Linked DNA regions of Sus scrofa. The protein of the gene in region 2 purifies or fractionates together with the protein of the main gene of each other region. This does not show direct contact. Links are inferred from orthologs where the notes say so. Each region holds a gene or a part of one and is shown on either strand. Other genes may lie near its edges.

Region 1 (3,644 bases), on a different chromosome or scaffold from region 2:
AACTTCAAAACATCGCAGGTGTGGCCCTTAAAAAAAAAAAAAAAAAAAGGAAGAGGAGGAGGAGGAGGAAGAGGAAGAAGAAGAAAGAAGTAGTAAACTGGAAGATAAGCCAGAAAAAAATCACTGGACTGAAACAAGGAAAGACAAAATGATGGAAAATACAGAAAAGAGCACAGGCTAATTCTAACAGCAACTGGAGACTCAGAAGGAAAGAATCAAGAAAGGGGCAGAAGCAATGCTTTAGAAGATAATGGCTGAAAATTTTCCACAATGGGTAAAAAAAACGCAGCAAGCCATGGATTCAAGAAGCACTAGAAAGCACAATCAGAATAAATACAGAAATAGGTGTAGAATAATAAAGACAGAATTAGGTATATATTTCCAACTTCTGAAAACCAAAGACAATGAGAAAATCATAAAAGCAACTGAGGGTAGAGGAAAGGGAGAAAAACAAATTATATCAAAAGAGCAGCAATGAGATAAACACCTTACTTCTCAACGAAGATGAAGGCAGCCAGGGACAATAGGACTATAGTCTCAACTTGCTCAAGGAAAATTACCAGCAATCCAGAATTCTGTACACAGCAAAAATATCTTTCAAACATAAAGATAAAACAAAGACACTTTCAGACAAAGAAAAAACTGAAATATCTTTGCCACTAGCATTTCTAAAGGAATAATAAAGGGTATTCTTCAGGGAGAAGGAAAATGCCCTTGAATGGAGGCCCAAGGATATAGAAAGAGATAAAAAGCAACAAAAAAGAAAATATCAGCAAAATGAAATGACTGTCAATTATATAACAATAATATCTCTTGGGGTTGAAAATACATACAGAATTTCAAAAAAAGAGTGTGCAGATTCTCCTGGTGGCCTGCCGAACGTCCATTCTCACTTCTATTTCATCACAGTTTTGTCAGAGAGGCAATGTGTCCACCCAAAGAACTACATTTCTCCGCCTTCCTTGCAGTTAACAGTGCAAGGTCATGTGCATTAAGACTTTTAGAATCAATGGGTAAGTTCTCCAGGAGAGCTCTTTAAAAGGGGGCAGCTGCAGCGGAGCACAACTTTCATCCTTTGGTTAATTCTTCTCTAACACAGAAGCAGCACTGAAGGCAGAGCAGTCGTCTTGTGACCACGAGGTGACAAACATAAAGAAGAAAGCTAAAGTCGCTGAGTGAAAGAAAAGGAACTAGAGTCCCTGACGACATGTGGGAGCCCTTGTACCAGCCCTGAACTGTCTGCCTCTGAGCTTTTTGCTGCAAGAGAAAAATAAAGCCCCACTCATTTGGCTAAGCCGATGAAGATGGATCTCTGTTACATACAGCCAAATGCAATTTCTACCCGATGTGATTCAGGTACTGCCTTACAAATGCTCAGGGCTAAGGAGATCAGGGCTTAACAGAATAAAGCATGAAGGTCCTTAAGGCCTCTACCAAAATTTTCATCCTTCCTTATCACTGATTACCAATTAACTATGGGATAGTCCAATTCCAGAAGGATGCAGAGATACAGCCCTAAAGATTATATGACAAGTTTTCTAGGCCAAGGAATCAGAGCAGGCTTTTAAAAATCTTGGTTTTTTTTGAGGCTGGGAAGAGAAAAATGATTCTCAGAAGAGTCAGACTGAGAAAAGGCCAAGGGAGACACGAAAGCTTTCTTTGTTTAAACACCCACCTCTAACCAGCAAACTTACCCTTCCGGATGCTGCAAAACAGAAACCATCAATTCCACTGCCAGGGCTCCTGCAATCATGGCCAGTCCTGGACGACTCACAGTGCACTGCTGGTCCAAGGTCCGGTCTCTGGTGGACTACAGAGAAACAGTCACTGTTGTGCACTCATAGCTCCATCCTACCCAGCTCTAGCCATCTAAAGCATGACTCTCTCCACGATAAAGCTCCACCACAGAGCCAGTCGCTCTGTTGGCAAAGACCGGTCGGCCTCACATAATATCATTTCTTGCAAGTACCAAGAAAAATGAAGTATACAAGTTAGGTGACTAAATGCAGTCATACACTAAAAATGACTAGCATTTATAAACAAATGAAAGATTAGGGGCCTAGCTGCCCCAAACAGGAGTTGCACAATGCGTGTTTTTAAGTGACTCAACTCTACTGTGCTTGTTAGCTGGGAGTCAGAGACACAGACAGGAGTAACATTTGAACAGAAAAAATGATCCCGCCCCGCTGTTCTGACTGCGCTAGAGCCTCAGAGCGCATGTGGGGCAGGAGGAACGATGAGCCATCCTGCGGCCCTCTGTCCCTACGTGCCGCCCACACCGTGTGCATCTCATCACCCCTGGGCTTAAGGACAAGAACTTATGCTACCACGCGGCTCCAAACACAAGCCTTCATTAGTTCAACACAAGAAGTTCTTACCTGTCAACTCCAGGCAAATCTAAGGGGTTGTTAGGGATCATTTTAACTCTGAAAATTGTGCCTTATGAACAGATGTGACTTAACTGCAACTGACCCTTGGTCCCTCATGTTGGTAATCAGGAAACAACAGGGCCAGCTGGATATTATAACCCATGATGGAGCTAAAGCCACCCTTCTTCACACAGGCAGATATTTATCTTTTTTTTTTTTTTCTTAAAAATACTGGGAAGACACAAAAGCCAGTCACCCAAAAGTGGTATGAATTGCTCAGGAACAAGTTTTAAAAGAAGGGGAAAATGGAAGGGAGGGATGAACACCTCTGCTTTGTTTTACTAGAAACACCTGCCTGTTCTGACACAAGGCCACTCCTACTGACTGACCCTGCTTGCGAGGCAGTATTAAGACCATAGAACCTTACACTGGAACAGTGTGGGGCTTGCTCTTCACAGCACCTTCACATTCGACCTTGTACTGAGAGCAGTCAGTGAAAGTACCCCTCCCTTCCTTACTGGGGTTAGCAGGTAAGATACAAGATACTGGGTTAAATCTGAATTTTAAAAACTTTTTTTTTTTTTTAGCACAAACATGTCTTGAATATTGCATGAGACGTAGTTATACTAAAATATTTTTCACTATTTACTGAAATTCAAAGTTAGCCATGAATCCCGTATTTTGACTTGCTAAATCCGACAACTTTATGGTCCTCAGGTCCACTGTGCAGAAGCAAAGGGAGCCAAGAGATTGATTCTGAATGACACTGTGAGCCAGTGTCCAAACCTAGACTAAAGGCTGGGCCTTCAGACTCCCATTTAACACCCTCTTCACTAAGATATGCACAGCAGACAGTGCTGAGTGCTGCAGGGACCCATCTAGCCTGCAGTTTCCTTGCCAAGTTTTCCATAAAAATAGTTGTCACTGGGTTTACACTGGAGAACAAGGAACAGCTGTATTGGTTGATGATGACAATCAAGGCTCACAGAAGGACAATGCCACCCTGCAAACAGGAGAATTTTTCCCTTTGTTAAAAGGTAATACACAGTTAAAAAGGCAAGTATTGGGTCTCTCCACCCTAGTGGGCAAGACAGTTGTAAGAAATATCTGGAACCTCAAAGAAGTCCACTTACATCTCCTGGGGCCACGACATCATTGCAGAAATAGCAGCCAAGTTTGTAGCCAGGGATGTTGGCAAAAAGTGATGAGCCCAGGAGGTCAGCAGATGTCACAGGGTTGCTGGGACACAGGTCCCCAGCTCCCTGCTGCTTAGGT
Region 2 (4,173 bases):
GGAAGTAGGACTATCTGCAGCCCGCGCCGAGCCCCCTTCTCTCGCTTCCACTCTTTCAGGTCAAGAATGGAGGGAACCCGGCTGGCGGGTGCTGGGCCGGACAACGGGCCCCCGGCTACACTCGACCTCAGAGGCTCAGCCCTCGGGCGCAGACAGGTGGGTTCCGGTCGCGGAGGCGGCGGCCAGGGCGTCCTCCGCGCGGACACGACAGTCAGAGCCCGGGCCCCTGGAGGCGTGCGCGGCTCGCGCGGGGCCCGAGGACTCGATACATCGCAGGAAAAGGAAAAAAACACAAAACAAAAACAAAACCCACCGACTTCCCCGCGTTTCTCAGCAAAGGAGTCGAGGGCGGAGTCGAGAGGGGGCGACTGAGCAGAATTCCGCGAGGCCGCCTCCGCCCGCCCACTCAGCGCCCCCGAAGCGCCCAGCGTCTCCGGCCCCCGCCCCGCCCGGCTTTGGGCCCGGAGCGGAGGTCGAGGGCAAGCGAGCGACTCGTTCCACTCGGGCTTCCCGAGTACTCGGTTCTGCTCCCCGGTAGTAAACAAAGTGTCGCCGCCGCCTCCACGCTGGTTTGCCTCACAGCAATCAAAACACTGAGAGCGGAGAGACTCACAGAAACATTCGAAAATTACCAGAAAATAATAACAGAGAGCCAAAAAAAAAAAAAAAAGAGTGAGGGAGACTGTGCGTGTGTGAGAAAGAAAAAAACACCCCACTACCCCCACCAACCCACTGCCACCTCCCGCTGGAAAACCAGCCCCCGCCCAGGCCGGCGTCCACTGGCTGCCTGGGCGGTGCCGCCGCGAGCTCATTGGCTGCTGGGGCTATCAGTCAGGGGCGGGCAAGCGCGCGCGCCGCCGCGGGCGGGGGGCGGCGGCAGATCCCGTAAGTCGGGCGGCAGCGTAGTCGCAGCAGCAGCCGCCGCTGCCGCCGCCGCCGCCGCCACATTCAACAGGCAGCAGCGCCGCGGTCGCGCCGCCGGGGAGAGTGAGCGGCCCGCGGCGCCCGTCCTTCCTTCGGTTTTCGGGCCGTGTCAGTAGGAGCGCGACGCTGGCGCTGCCTGGGCTGGGCGACTCTGGCCTGCCGTCCCGTCCGTGCAGCGGACCTGGAGGAGCCTAGATGTTGATGGACCCGCGAAGTTAAGTTCTGGGCTCGCGCTTCCACTTCGCCGCCGCGTCTTGCTCCGGGTTTCCGTCCGCCCGCGGCACCGACCTCGCCCCCCAAAATCTCGGACCGGCTCTTCGCGCCCTCTCCCCTCAGCTCCTGGTGCAGCGCCCTCGCACTTCTTGGCAATCCCGCTGCTGGGGGAGGGGCGGGGGTCACCATGGCCGAAGCGCCCCAGGTGGTGGAGATCGACCCGGACTTCGAGCCGCTGCCCCGGCCGCGCTCGTGCACCTGGCCGCTGCCCAGGCCGGAGTTTAGCCAGTCTAACTCGGCCACCTCCAGCCCGGCGCCGTCGGGTGGCCCAGCCGCGAACCCCGACGCTGCCGCGGGCCTGCCCTCGGCCTCGGCGGCCGCTGTCAACGCCGACTTCATGAGCAACCTGAGCCTGCTGGAGGAGAGCGGGGACTTCCAGCAGGCGCCCGGCTCCGTGGCGGCGGCGGCGGCGGCGGCAGCCGCGGTGGCGGCGGCGGCCGCCGCTGCTGCCACCGGGGGGTTGTGCGGGGACTTCCAGGGCCCAGAGGCGGGCTGCCTGCACCCGGCGCCGCCGCAGCAGCCCCCGCCGCCCGGGCCGCTGTCGCAGCACCCGCCTGTGCCCCCCGCCGCCGCCGGGTCGCTTGCCGGGCAGCCGCGCAAGAGCAGCTCGTCCCGCCGCAACGCGTGGGGCAACCTGTCCTACGCCGACCTCATCACCAAGGCCATCGAGAGCTCGGCAGAGAAGCGGCTCACGCTATCGCAGATCTACGAGTGGATGGTCAAGAGCGTGCCCTACTTCAAGGATAAGGGCGACAGCAACAGCTCGGCAGGCTGGAAGGTGAGTGGCCTCGGGGCGCACGGCTGGAGCGGGAGGGGGGCACGGGAAGCCCTGCCTCCGCCTTAGGTCGGAGGGGACGGCTGTGCAAATTTGCTTGGCTTGAAAGTGCAGGGCACGCGGGCAGCGCGTGCAAGAAGCATCGGAGGTGGGTGGTGGGCTTGCCTCGGACCCGTCGGAGGATTGGAATAAACGTCTGTGTGTACGCTCTCGTGAGAGTTGGAGCGGGAGCGGGAAGGGGCGAGTTGGGACCGAAGTAGTGAAAAAAGTACGCCAAGAAGTGGACCTCAGAGCAACCAGAAAAAAAGTTCTCCAGTGAACGGAGAGCGGGGTTCACTGCGACCTGCCCCCCCTTCTCCACGGCCCGCGCGAACTCCTGCCGCTGCTCCTTTCCCTCCACGACCTCAGGGGTGAGGGCGGCTCCCCTCCTCCCCCGCGGCCCCCCAGCTCCCCGCCGCCCCGCGGAGCCGTTTCCGCAGCGCTGGGCGGGGGAGGCCGCTGCGAGGGGCCTCGGAGCCCCGCCGCTGGGGGACGGGGCTGCAGGTGGAGGGGACAGGCAGGGCGCGAGGCAGCCGGCCCGTGGAGGTTGGCCGCGCGGTTTTTGGAGGCCGTATGCATTTTGTTTTATTTTGATTTTATTCTAAGTGGCCTCGAGTGCAGGGGTCCGGGCGCGCAGAGCCAGAGGTAGCGTCTCCGACACGTGCAAAGGGGCGGCCACCGCCTGCGGAGCGCCGGCGCCCGGCGGCGCGGGGCGAGCTAAAGTTCAAGTGTGACCCTCGGCGGGGGCGGGAGCAGGCGACGGCGAGGGAGGGGCCGCGAGCGCAGGAAGCGAGCGCCTTTAAAGGGCCAGCGCGTCCTGGCCCTGGGCACCTCCTCGCCCGGCCGCCGGGCAGCAAGGCCGGCACGTCTCTGCCCAAGGAAGTGCCCCCAAACTTGGCCTCGCCGAAGGTTCGAGGCCTTTAATTAAGCACGGAGAGGATTTCCTGGATGGCCAGGGCTGGGGACGTGGGTATTCTTGCTTTGCCCCCTCAGGGTTACAGCGTTTGGAGGTACAGGTCCGAGGGGCAGGTGACTGGTGTTCGGGGAGTTGGAATGAAGGTTCGAGTCAAGGGAACCTGCAAGGACCTCCTGTCTCGACGGAGGCCTGTACACGCGGTGCCTCTGGCCGTTTTTGCCTTTCTGAGAGACCGAGAGACAGCGGGAGAGACACTCAGGTGGGGGCACATCCCTACCCTGAGGTGGAGAAGGCCTTGGGGCTCCCAGGAGGACGGGCTGGGGGAGGCATACCGGCCAGCGGTTCGCCCCGCGACTTCCAGAAGCTGACACTTTCTGTTACAGGTGGAAGGATCGATGTTAAGGTTCTCTGGTTGAGTCAGACTCCTCTTCACTCCTCCTCGGGACTGTACAGCATAATAAAGATTTTTCTTTGCTGCGCATTTGTTGCACAAAGGTTGTTTTACGTACACTGTCATTCCTGTGGTTAATGTGTGTCAAAAAGGTTAAGTTAATCACATCGTGTTGAAGCTCCTGGAGAAGGAACAAGGATCTTATTTTTTCCAAAATGTATTTTAGAGTAAAGGCTTCACTTAGGATCTGATTACCAGGCATTACATGCAATTTACCTAGGTTTCAAAAAAGTAAAGTGCCTCCTTATTTTACCCTTGGTATATATTCTTTAAAGTCAGAAAATGGGGGTTGTCTGCCAAATCCAATTTTATAACATTTGAATTTAAGTACTTGACTTACTTGTTCATTTATCAATCCTACTTGAGCTGTTGTAAAACCATTTGCCATTAAATTTTTTGTTTTCGGAATTAAAAGTACAGTGTGTACTTAACACCGTTTTTTCATGTCCTTGGAAATGGATACAGCCTACTTAAGCTTGCTGGAGTGTTTTTCTTTTAAGATAGGGAAAGGCAAAGTTTGGGGATTAGTTTTAGTTTTGCCTCTCAAATGGTCTTAAGTCAGATCATTCCTGTATTCTTAAACTAGGAATATAACTTAAGCATTTAAGGTTTATGCTTTTGTTTTTTTTTAATAGTTTCTAAGACTAAAATCACTCCCTGACCCCAGCCATTTTTATTAGGTTTCTACTTGTTCTCATTTTTTTCCCAGGTAGTTAAAGGTGTGCTTTTTTGTTTGTTTGTTTGTTTGTTTTTTAAATTTACTTCCTAGAGCTAGAAGGTCTCTTAAATGTTGGT
Region 3 (3,644 bases), on a different chromosome or scaffold from region 2:
CCCCCATCTCTCCTGTCCCCCCCACCGAAAAGAGCTCACCTTGAACTGCCCAGGATAGAGTTCCTTGGCGAGGGCGAAGAAGGGCTCTGGATGTTTCTGTGGGAGAGAGACCGGAGGGCAGGCAGCCCCGTGCCCCTGGTGAGGTGAGAGCTGGCACCAGGCGGCCCCCGGCCCCCACCACGTACCTTGGGACTCGTACCTTGAAGTAGCCAATCTCAAAGATGGCCTCCGGGTAGGGCAGACGGTACTTCTCCAGGTTGGCATAGAGGCCCGTGGACGGGGAGCGGAAGTCAGGGATGCCGCGGCTGGGGGCAGGGGGCCAAAGATGAGGGACCTCGCTCGGCCCCATTGCTACCACACCGACCCTCCCAGGCGATAGCGCCCGCTCGGCTCCTCCCCAGCCCTTCCCAGGGGCACCCAACCAGGGGCGGCTCCTGGGGCAGGGGATGCTTACACGTGGAGATTCCAGCTCCCACCAAACAGATGACCCTGCGACCTGGAGGAGAAGAGTTTACACAGCACATGACATAGTTTGCTCAACATCGCCTACCCCAGTCCCTGAAGCCATCTACTCCATGCCAGGCCCTGGAGGAAGCATTTCAGATCCCTGAACGGTCCCCCAACTATCTCAAGGTGGGTGGTGGTAACACCCATTTTATAGGAGTTCCCATCGTGGCTCAGCGGTTAACGAATCTGATTAGGATCTGTGAGGGCGCAGGTTGATCCCTGGCCCTGCTCAGTGGGTTAAGGGTCCGGTGTTGCCGTGAGCTGTGATGTAGGTCACAGACGAGGCTTGGATCCCAAATTGCTGTGGCTGCGGTGTAGGCCAGTGGCTACAGGTCCTAGCATGGGAACCTCTATATGCTGAGGGTGTGGCCCTAAGAAGACAAAAGAGGGAGTTCCCGTTGTGGCTCAGTGGTTAACGAATCCGACTAGGAACCATGAGGTTGCAGGTTCGATCCCTGATCTTGCTCAGTGGGTTAAGGATCTGGCGTTGCTGTGAGCTGTGGTGTAGGTCGCAGACGCGGCTCGGATCCTGTGTTGCTGTAGGTCTGGCGTAGGCTGGCAGCTACAGCTCCAATTAGACCCCTAGCTTGGGAACCTCCAATGCCGCGGTAGTGGCCCAAGAAATGGCAAAAAGACAAAAAAAACAAAAACAAACAAAAAAAGACAAAAGAGCCCCCCCCCAAAAAAATCCCGTTTTACAGATGAAGAAACTGAGGCTCAGAGGGGGGTCACACAGTTGGCTGGTGGAAGAGCCAGCGTGGGAGTCAAAGAATCCACTGCTCAGGAAGTTCTCGCTGTGGCTCAGCAGTAACAAACTCGACTATTATCCATGAGCATGTGGGTTTGATCCCTGGCTACACTCAGTGGGTTAAGGATCCAGTGTTGCCATGAGCTGTGGTGCAGCTTGCAGACACAGCTCGGATCTGGCATTGCTGTGGCTGTGGTGCAGGCGGATTTGACCCCTAGCCTGGGAACTTCCATATGCCCTGGGTATAGCCCTATAAAAACAAAAACAAAAACAAAAAAATAAAATTGCATTAAAAACAAAAAAGAATCCCCTGCTTAAAATTATACCAAGGTATAAGATTAAACAAAAGGCCACTTGGAGGGAAATTTCTCCTCCTAGCTAGATCTAGACAAGAACACACGAGATCTTAGTGAAAGGGCTGGGCATGGGGTTCCCCCAGAAGAGCTGGAGCTTATTGTGAAAAGAATCTCGGGCCACCCCTCATCTTTTGGACACAATCTTGGATGGCCATCCACTTCTAGCACATTCCTTCTCTTGTAATCAAATGCACATCAGCCACCTAAAGTTTGATAATTTTCAGGTGAAGACCAAAGATTTGCCACTCTCAGCCCACACCCAGTGAGCAGCAGAGTGGATAAGGGTTCCCAATTCTGGCTCTCCTGCACACCCGTGGTGGTGATAGGGGTTTGGGGGTGGTGGTGGTGGTGATGGGGGGTGGGGGGTGATGGGGTGGGGTGGGGGTGGGGGTAATGGGGTGGGGATGGGGGTAGTGATGGGGTGGGGGTGGGGATGATGGTGGTGATGGGGGGTGATGGGGTGGGGTAGGGGGTGGTGATGGGGTGGGAGTGATGGGTGGGGGTGGGGATGATGGTGGTGATGGGGGTGGTGATAGGGGTGGGGGGTGATGGGGATGGAGGTGGGGGTGGGGGGGTGCACTAAGTCACAGCCTCTCTGTGCCTCAGTTTCCTTCTCTGACCTGATGGCAGTGTCTTAGTTCAGATCATCACTCTGCACCTTAGCTTTCAGCTCTGTAAAAGGGGCGTAATTACAGTAGTGACCTTGCAGGGCTGTTGAGAGAACGATCTCATTCATGTGAAGCTCCGATCAGGGCCCAGCACTGAGTATGCTCCGAGTCACTTGTACTCAACTTTTTTCTTTTGGGCTGCACTGGGCATGTGGAAGTTCCCCGGCCAGGGATTGAATCCGCACTGCAGTAGTGACCTGAACCCCTGAAATGACAGCCCTGGATCCTTAACCCGATGCGTCCCCAGGGAACTCCCTCAACTTCCTTTCTTTCTTCCTTCCTTTTTCTTTTTGCTTTTTTAGAGCCGTATCTGTGGCATATGGAGGTTCCCAGGCTAGGGGGTGAATCAGAGCTACAGCTGGTGGCCTACGCCACAGCCACAGCAACACTGGATCCAAGCCACATATTCGACCTACACTACAGCTCATGGCAGCACTGGATTCCCGACCCACCGAGCAAGGCCAGGGATTGAACCCGAATCCTCATGGATTCTTGCTGGATTCGTTTCCGCTGCGCCACAGAGGGAACTGCCTCACTTCTTGGGACCCGTGATTTGTACGCCTGCGGGTGCGTTGCTCCCCATTGTCAGCAGCTTTCAGAAAAGAGGATGGAAGACATGGCAGCAGTGGAATCACTTCACAAGCACGTGGGGCTGTGCAGAAATAGCCCCGTTGCCTTTTTAGTAGCTGGCTGGCTGGCAGCCCTGCCAACGTGGCACCATGTGCCTGTAGGCTGATAGACAAGTGTAAGGGCCTGTGAACTGGGCACCTCTGGGGTGCCTTGTGTAAAGAGGGACAGTGAGGGTGACAAGGGCTGAGACTTCCACAGCCTCAGTGTTTGGCTACGTTCATGAAATCATTGGAGGAGGCCTGGTGGGCCGGGGGGTGGGGGGCACATGGAAGGGAGTGTGTGCTGCTTTGGATTCGGGTGGCCTGGGGTGGAGCCCAGACTCTGCCTCTTGCCGGCTGTGTGACCCTGCACCACGGCACAGCCTCTCTGGGCCTCCAGTTCCTCTTCCGTCCAGATCCCCCTCACGGGTCACCACGCGAAGATCAAACCAGAGGAGGCCTGTCAAGTGCTTTGCCCCAGTGCCTGGCAAACGGGGAGAGCTCAGTGAGCTATCGGGGGTTTTATTACTATTATTATCCCCTCATAAGCACCCTTGGGAGTCAATTATCCTAAAACCCAGGCGCAGGAGGGCGGAAGGAACGAAAGCTGCGTTGCCAGGGCCTGCGTTCTCTTGGGGGCCCGCCCAGGCCAGGAGCCGGCTGCAGGCAGCTGCCGGCTGGCCCCAGGCCGGGGCAGGGGTCGGGGCGGCGGGCCTGGCTGCTGAGCGGGACAGGGACTCGGACATGGCAGCAGCTG

Evidence for each region. Proteins that work in one complex are often made in the same cells at the same time.
Region 1: the proteins of FOXO1 (region 2) and ATG7 purify together in Homo sapiens (affinity purification with western blotting; 4 studies listed by BioGRID). This does not show direct contact. The link is inferred for Sus scrofa from reciprocal best matches to the Homo sapiens genes FOXO1 and ATG7.
Region 3: the proteins of FOXO1 (region 2) and SIRT2 purify together in Homo sapiens (affinity purification with western blotting; 3 studies listed by BioGRID). This does not show direct contact. The link is inferred for Sus scrofa from reciprocal best matches to the Homo sapiens genes FOXO1 and SIRT2.

What each region holds. Positions count from the first base shown.
Region 1 is NC_010455.5:67,490,241-67,493,884, reverse strand, and holds part of ATG7 (ubiquitin-like modifier-activating enzyme ATG7), read right to left. Parts: coding exon 3,503-3,644; intron 1,811-3,502; coding exon 1,695-1,810; intron 1-1,694. UniProt on the Homo sapiens protein: E1-like activating enzyme involved in the 2 ubiquitin-like systems required for cytoplasm to vacuole transport (Cvt) and autophagy.
Region 2 is NC_010453.5:15,407,185-15,411,357, reverse strand, and holds the start of FOXO1 (forkhead box protein O1), read left to right. Parts: upstream 1-1,298; 5' UTR 1,299-1,324; coding exon 1,325-1,975; intron 1,976-4,173. UniProt on the Homo sapiens protein: Transcription factor that is the main target of insulin signaling and regulates metabolic homeostasis in response to oxidative stress.
Region 3 is NC_010448.4:47,693,280-47,696,923, forward strand, and holds part of SIRT2 (NAD-dependent protein deacetylase sirtuin-2), read right to left. Parts: intron 497-3,644; coding exon 457-496; coding exon of another isoform or gene 455-456; intron 306-454; coding exon 200-305; intron 97-199; coding exon 40-96; intron 1-39. UniProt on the Homo sapiens protein: NAD-dependent protein deacetylase, which deacetylates internal lysines on histone and alpha-tubulin as well as many other proteins such as key transcription factors.